Linked DNA regions of Oryctolagus cuniculus. The protein of the gene in region 2 purifies or fractionates together with the protein of the main gene of each other region. This does not show direct contact. Links are inferred from orthologs where the notes say so. Each region holds a gene or a part of one and is shown on either strand. Other genes may lie near its edges.

Region 1 (3,748 bases), on a different chromosome or scaffold from region 2:
ATGTTTTTTCTTGACCCATTGGGTTTCAAGTTAAAAAAAAAATATTTATTTGAAAAGCAGTGTGACAGAGAGGAAGAAGGGGGTGGGGGAGGGGTCTTCCATCTGCTGTTGCCAGTGCTGGACCAGGCTGAAGCCAGGAGCCCAGGAGTCTCCCACGTGGATGCAGGGGCCCAAGGACTGGAGTCATCCCCCGCTGCTTTCTCAGGCACATTAGCAGGGAGCAGGACTGGAAGCTGAGTAGCTGGGACTCGAACTAGCACTCCAATATTTGATGCTGGCGGCCTAACCTGCTGCGCCACAGCACAGGCTCCTGTGTTTCAGTTGGAATGTCATTGTTTATTCTGGGCATGGGATCCTGGAGGGGGCAAGGATGGAGGGGATCTTGTCTAATCTGGGTTTAGATTCCAAGGATGAGCCTCTGTCTCGTTCTGCCTCCAGCTTTCTCAGACAAGGAAGCTAATCTAACCTACTGCTGAGCTCCCAAAGCACGTGGGCTGGGGTCTCTGTTTTAACACTTATCACATGTACTTTGTATTACAAATTGTGTTTATAGTGTCTTATCTGCTTATAAGCTTCTTTTATAAAAGATGTATTTATTTATTTATTTATTTGAAAGGCAGAGCTAGAGAGAGAGGGAGGGAGAGAGAAGGAGAGAGAGAGAGGGATCGAGAGATCTTCAATTCGCTGGTTCACTCCCTGAATGGCTGCAAAGGCCAGGACTGAGCCAGACCAAAACCAGGAGCCAGGAGCTTCCTCTGGGTCTCCCACATGCATTCAGGGGCCCAAGACTCAGGCCATCTTCTGCTCCTTTCCCAGGCACATTAGCAGGGAGCTGAATTGGAAGTGGAGCAGCTGGGTGCCCATATGGGACTATGGCTTAACCCTCTGCACTACAATGCTGGCCCAGTTATATGCTTCTTGAGGGCACCTTTGTCTCTTGTCCTATGTCACCTATCACAATGTTCTGCTAATAATATGCCCTAGAATCTTCAATTAAATTCCCCTGTTAGCTACCCTGTCAAATTCATTCTAAAAAGTTTACTCTATAATATCAATGTCCAGACTACAAAGTTCGATGTTCAAAATCTGCCAAGATGTGATTCAATTTATTTTGTCAGTTTCATCATGTGCCACACCCATGTTTCTTGTTTGGCCTTGAAACTTTTTTTTCAGTACTCCTTGTTGTAAATCCCTGACCACTGAAATTGTATCCAGCATTCAATGCCTTCACTGTTTTTTTTTTAATGATTTTTATTATTTGAAAGGGAAAGTGACACAGAGAGAGAGAAAAAAGAGAGAGAGAATTTTCCTGATCACATTACTCATCTCCCACATGGGTGACAGGGGCCCCACTACTTGGGCCATCTTCTGCTACTTTCCCAGGAATGTAAGCAGCGGGATGGGTTGAAAGTGGGGCAGCTGGGACTCTAACTGGCTCTCCGATATGGTATGCTGGCATTGCAAGAAGCAGCATAACCCACTGTGCCACAATGCCAGCCCTGATATTTTTGAATAAATATGTTATTCTCCTCTGCAGAGTAACCTTTTAGAATATTCCAGGACGTGATTAGATCATTCCCAACACTTCATTTACAAAGTGAGTGATTTGTGAGAAGGAAAAGCCAAAGAGGCTGATATACTAAACTGGGCAGTCTTTTGTCATGGAATCTGCAAGGAAGGAAAGACAGGAAGCGGCACAGTCACTACCATTAACTGGGCTACAGCAGGAGTGGCGCAGCTGCTGTCTCATGTAGCTCTCACACAACCCTGTGAAGCAGGTATTAGGGCACCATTTAACAGACAAGAAAACAGGCTTAGGAGGTGTGTTGGCCAAGGCCAGACGGCTTAGCATTCTGAGCCAGGACTCAAACCCAGGCATTTATGAATCCAAAGTAGAAACTCCAGCACACCCAAATGAGAGGACGACGTGAATCTGCAAGGAGCAGGCAGGCACAGGAACTGGTGCTTAGAGCAGGTGTATTAATTGGCAGTGAGGAACATAACTGTCAAGTGGCCTCTAATAGATGGGTCAGCACATCCCTCCTTGTAGGGGAGCATGTGTGAAAAGCCAAGTTATCCCCTGGAAATGGCCACAGCAGCTGGAGTCCTGGCAAAAGGAACCATGAACCAAGATGAATCACTGAACTCACTCGACTCAGAGCAAATCTGCCGGTCAGAGCTCCATTGCTTTCCTTCCTTTCATTCAGTAAATATTTATTGACCGTGGTGTGTGTACCAGACACTGTGCTGGGCTCTGGGAATCCAGCCATGAAGCTGCCAGCCCAGTGGGATGCCGAGAGGGTGGGGTGTGGCCCCAGCCTGGGCACATTCCTCCCCTCCCCCCTGCCTTGTGATTTTTGGTTCAGTGAAGATCTCTTCCTCCTGTTGCCATACTCTCTCGACTCTTGCATCAGCTATGTTGAGGCCACTGATTGGCCAAAGCTATTTTTATTCCTCAATTGCATTCCAGTCCTGAAGATAAGTCTAGATTGGATTTGAAATGTTTTTCAGGTTTCTTCCGGCTTCAGCTTCTCTTTCAGATTATGACTCTCACAGGATTCTCATCTGTTCTGGGTTTATTCTTCCTAAATTCATTTTCTAATCCCAAATTCCGGGGTGCCCTTGCTATGATAACCTTATATCGCCACCATTCCAGAGCTATGATTTATCAGCCCAAATGTCATTTTCTGAGTTCTTATTGTCTTCCTCCCTCAGCTCTCTGAATCTCAGAACACAACCCCTGCCCCAGGAGGTTTTCAAGGAAAGAAATCCCCCTCCCACAGGCTTGATAAAGTCAGAACAGATCCACTCTCCACCGGCCTATTCACACATTCATTCCATTACTCATGAAGCCCGCATGGTGCTCGGTGCTGGGGGAGGCCCTCCCTGCTCCAGCAGACTTGTTCTGAGCCGTCCCGCTACCCAAGCAGAACTGAAATTGTTCCCCCAGAGATGTGTACTGGGGGCAGCCATACACTCTTGGAGTCAGCTATCTATCTCCCAAGACCACATTCCAGGAGTCAGGCAACCGGGGTGCTAGCTTTTAGCTCTGCGATCCCAGCTGATTTTTGTCTCAGCTCTCAGAATCCGTTTCCTCATCCCTAAAACAAAAGAATTGACCTGAGCTGCTCTAACTTCCAGAGCCCCTGTCGAGGGAACTGGTGCTGCGCGGTGCATATGCTTCGCTTTGCTGGGTTGCGTCCAGGACAGAAACCCTCAGGTTTGGAAAAGCTCGCTCCTCTTATTAAAATAGGAAAACTAACCCGCTGGGTGCTTTGGGGCTATTTGCTTAGCGTTCCCGTTGAGTTTCGTCGGCTGCGTGAGCCCTCAGCGCCCCCTGCAGGTCGGGCCCTGCCACGGCTCAGCCAGAACTGGCTGGGGAAAAAGGGTGGCCCCAAGACCGCCCCCCAAACCGTTCCGCGTTTATAGATCTTTGGGTCCCGTGACATCGCCCAAAGGTCTGGCGAAAAGGCCAGGACCGTGTGGTTGCTGAAGACTTTCCTGCTGCCAGCAAGGGCCAGTCTCTCAAAGGGCTTCGCGGCCTGAACGGACATTGTTCCGGCTCTTAGCCTGGGAGCGGGGAGCCTCGGGTCCGGAGAGATTTTGCCCAGAAAGCTGACCACACAGTGGAGGCTAGAAACTTGAGATCGGCGACTGGATTTCACCTTAAGACTGCCTCACGGAGCCCCACTTTCCTGCCCTCCCTTCCCCCACCCCAACTCCTCAGGCTCGCCCTCACCCCTATATA
Region 2 (3,748 bases):
GAAAAATACTAAATATATCTTCCAAAACCAAAAAATGTTAGCGAGAGGAGTTGTAAATCTTGTCAACATTTGGCTTACTAGAAAACAGTCGGTTTCTCCCATCCACTTCTACGTTCAATTCGCTGCAATATTTATCACGTAGCCTCTGGAAAACTCCACTGCTACACTGGGGAAAGAAAGTGAAAATCATTTTTTAAAATTAATTAATTAATTTATTTTATTTTATTTTTATTTTTTAATTTTTGACAGGCAGAGTGGACAGTGAGAGAGAGAGAGACAGAGAAAAAGGTCTTCCTTTTTGCCGTTGGTTCACCCTCCAATGGCCGCCGCGGCCACTGCACCGCTCTGATCCGAAGCCAGGAGCCAGGTGCTTTTCCTGGTCTCCCATGGGGTGCAGGGCCCAAGCACCTGGGCCATCCTCCACTGCACTCCCTGGCCACAGCAGAGAGCTGGCCTGGAAGAAGGGCAACCGGGACAGAATCCGGCGCCCGGACCGGGACTAGAACCCGGTGTTCTGGCGCTGCAAGGTGGAGGATTAGCCTATTGAGCCGCGGCGCCGGCCGAAAATCATTTTTTAAAAAGATTTATTTTATGTATTTGAAAGACAGAGTTAAAGAAAGAGAGAGAGAGAAATCTTCCATCTGCTGGTTCACTCCCCAAATGGCTGTAAGGGCCAGAGCTGAGCCAGGAGCCAGGGGCCAGGAGCTTCCGCCAGGTCTCCCACGCAGGTGCAGGGGCCCAAGCACTTGGGCCATCTGCTGCAGCTTTCCCAGGTCATAGCAGAGCATAGCAGAGGGGCAGCCGGGACTGGAACTGGCGCCCACATGGGATGCCGGCGCTGCAGGCTGGGGCTTTAACACGCTGCGCCACAGCCCCGGCCCCGAAAATGATTTTTTAATGTGATTATGAAAACTGCTTCGTCTTCAGAGACCCTCAAGGAATCCCCGGACATTTGGGAGGCGCTACTGTATTGTAAGAAACAGTAAGTCCAGCATTCAGACTAAAGGGGAAGAAGAGGTTCCTTCGATTCGCATGAATGTTGGGCTTTGCCTGGTAGGCTGGGTCTGGGCGAAATGCCGGGGACACCAACAAGTGCCTCAAGCAAACGCTAACCTGCGCGCTCTTCCGGAGTCACTGACGCGCGGCGCGGCTCCACCTCAAACTACAACTCCCCGCAGAGCTCGCGGCGGGGGGCGTGTCCGCACCCGCGGAGCGCGAGGGTGGCTCAAGCTGATGACGGAAGTGAGAGGAGGCGTGCCTGTTTTGGGTGGGTGCGGTGCGCCAATTGGAGGAGATGGAGAGATGGGGCGGGGCTGTCGCTTGGGTCAGCCAATAATTGGCGGTCAGGCGAAAATGGGAGGGGGACGGGGCGTGGCAGGGCTGACTCACAGGCTGCGTGGGGCTCACGGAGCCTGGGGACGCGAGTCTGAGGGGTGCGAGGGCCCTGTCCTGAGGTCGTGCGAGGGGGATGGCGGCACGATGGAGCAGCGAGAACGTCGTGGTGGAGTTCCGCGACTCCCAGGTGAGCTGGGGTCCGAACGGAGCAGTCTGGGCATGCGCCCTCAGTGGTTCCCCTCCCCCACGCGGCCTCTCTGGTCCTAGGGGTTGCCGGGAGACCCCCGGCTCTGGCTGAGGAGTTGGACTACCCGGTTACCTGGAGCTGTCAGGCTCGGGCGGGCGGGAGGCGCTTGATGACAGTTGGGGTGGGCATGGACGGGGTGTCGAGGTTCCTTGTAGGGGGTACAGGGAATAGGGTTCGCCTTGGGGGGCTGAGGGAGGTGCCTCATGCCCAAGGTGGTGAGCGAGGGGGCGTCGAGCAAGTCGTGGAACTTCTGCGTGGACCTGACCCTTGGTTTTGGGGGTGGGGTGAGGTGGATTCCATGAAATGCTGCTCGCAAAGCGGCTGCTTCGACGCCTAAGCGGTTAAGTGGTTGCTGATGCTGTGATAGTGGACCCTGTACGTATTGCCTGGGTTCGAATCCTGGCGCAGGTAATAGGCTGTCATCGCTCTCTGCGTGCCAGTTTCCTCACCAGTGGAAGGAGTAATCCTGTCTCACGGGATTGGCGTGAGGATTTGGGGCGGTCATCCGTGTGTGTGTGTGTCTGTCTGTCTGTCTCTCACACACACACAGTGGTGGGCACATGTTACGCTTCGAAAAACGTGAGCCCTCACTGAGGAATTTTACCACTTTTCTGTGTCGTGACTTCTGTATGTTGGGCCTTGTGCTGAGCTGCTTATGTGTGGTTTCTTTTTGTGGTTCCTGGAAGAACCATGCAAGGAAGGTAGGTGTAAAGGGGGAAGCTGATGCCCATTTCATCCCCAGTGACTTGGCCAAGGCCTCCCGCGATGGGGCCATTGGTGGAAGGCACTGCCCCCAGAGCGTGTGTCAGCTCAGAACAGTACTTTGCCTAGTAGTGGGTATCTGCGCGGGGTCGTGCAGTTGTTTGACAGTAGACAGCATGTTCCCCCTTCCCCACTCCTGTGCCAGTGTCTTGGAGAGCCTGTTTATTCAGCTGTCTCCGTGTGCCAGACTTCTACTCACTCATTTATTCAACAAGGAGTTACTGAGATACTAACATTGTGCCGGGCCTTGTGTCCATACTCCAGTGATTTTTCTGGAGGGAAATCTGGATTGCTTTGCCATAAAGATGAATGAGTGGAGGAGCCTCCCACTAGTTTGCTCTGTGTGCCCTTGGATAAGTAGCACCTATCGAGGCTTTGAGCAGCAGCGTTTGGATGCAGGGATCCTAAAGCCGCTGGCACTGTCAGCATGGTGTCTCAGAGGCCCAGTCACCCAGGGGAGGTGCTAGACTCCTAGGGAAAAACCGTATCCCTGTCACCTTTCTCATTAATTGCTTCCACTGGGAGCTAGGACAGAACAGGATTGTGTGTTTGTCTCTGAGCCTGCTAATTTGGAAGCTACTAAACTGCAAACCCTTTAATTCTCACAGAAACCCAGGTAGTCTCACTCCTTTTTTTTTTTTTTTTTTTTTTTTTTGAAATAGAAACGTAATTGAAGAGACCTGCAGAGCAAGTGCTGACACTTATATTAGGATGCTATGAAGTAGCAGCAAATAATTAAACCTGAACAGCAGTTGTCATAGTAGGAGAACAAAGTGAATTGGGTAATTGAGCTGCCTGTGGGAGTTTCTATTTTTCTTTCTGCTTTCCTGATTAGTGGAAGGATGTGTCTTGGTGTGAATTAGCATGGTTTTGTGGTTCACTCTAGTGATCAATGGGAGGGGCAGGAACCAGTCTATTAACTTTTTAAAATTAATGTGGAAAGAAAAAGTGAAACTTCTTCACAGTACCTGTCTGAAAAGGCCAAAACAATAAACTTTTCAAAGCATCCCACATCTTGTCAAAATGATTTTAAAAAATTAAAGCTTTTAGATTTTTCAGAGTAAACCTGCTGTCTGTAGGTGAAACTGTTTTGGTTTATACAAGTGTTATTTGCTTTATAAAACAATGCCATGTGGTATTACTGTCACCAGTTAGTGGTGAAGGACATGTGGTACTTGACAGCAACTCTGCAGTGCTCACTTGCACGTGTACCCTTGAGGATCAGTGAGATGGCAGCTTGTGCAGTTGTGAGTCTGACTCGGCAGCGTGTACAGAAGTGCTGCGGCCGGGACTGGTGGTGAAGATGGGAACTGCAGACTCCGAAGTTGCTTGCTTGCCTGCCTGCTTTGGAAGGCAGAATTAGAGAGAGAGAGAGAGAGGTCTTCCATCTGCTGTTTCACTCCG

The links.
Region 1: the proteins of WDR59 (region 2) and SESN2 purify together in Homo sapiens (affinity purification with western blotting; 4 studies listed by BioGRID and IntAct, with this or other methods). This does not show direct contact. The link is inferred for Oryctolagus cuniculus from reciprocal best matches to the Homo sapiens genes WDR59 and SESN2.

Annotation. Positions count from the first base shown.
Region 1 is NC_091438.1:143,427,230-143,430,977, forward strand, and holds the start of SESN2 (sestrin-2), read right to left. Parts: upstream 2,544-3,748; 5' UTR 2,412-2,543; coding exon 2,151-2,411; intron 1-2,150. UniProt on the Homo sapiens protein: Functions as an intracellular leucine sensor that negatively regulates the mTORC1 signaling pathway through the GATOR complex. In absence of leucine, binds the GATOR subcomplex GATOR2 and prevents mTORC1 signaling.
Region 2 is NC_091449.1:57,464,167-57,467,914, reverse strand, and holds the start of WDR59 (GATOR2 complex protein WDR59), read left to right. Parts: upstream 1-1,359; 5' UTR 1,360-1,468; coding exon 1,469-1,522; intron 1,523-3,748. UniProt on the Homo sapiens protein: As a component of the GATOR2 complex, functions as an activator of the amino acid-sensing branch of the mTORC1 signaling pathway. The GATOR2 complex indirectly activates mTORC1 through the inhibition of the GATOR1 subcomplex.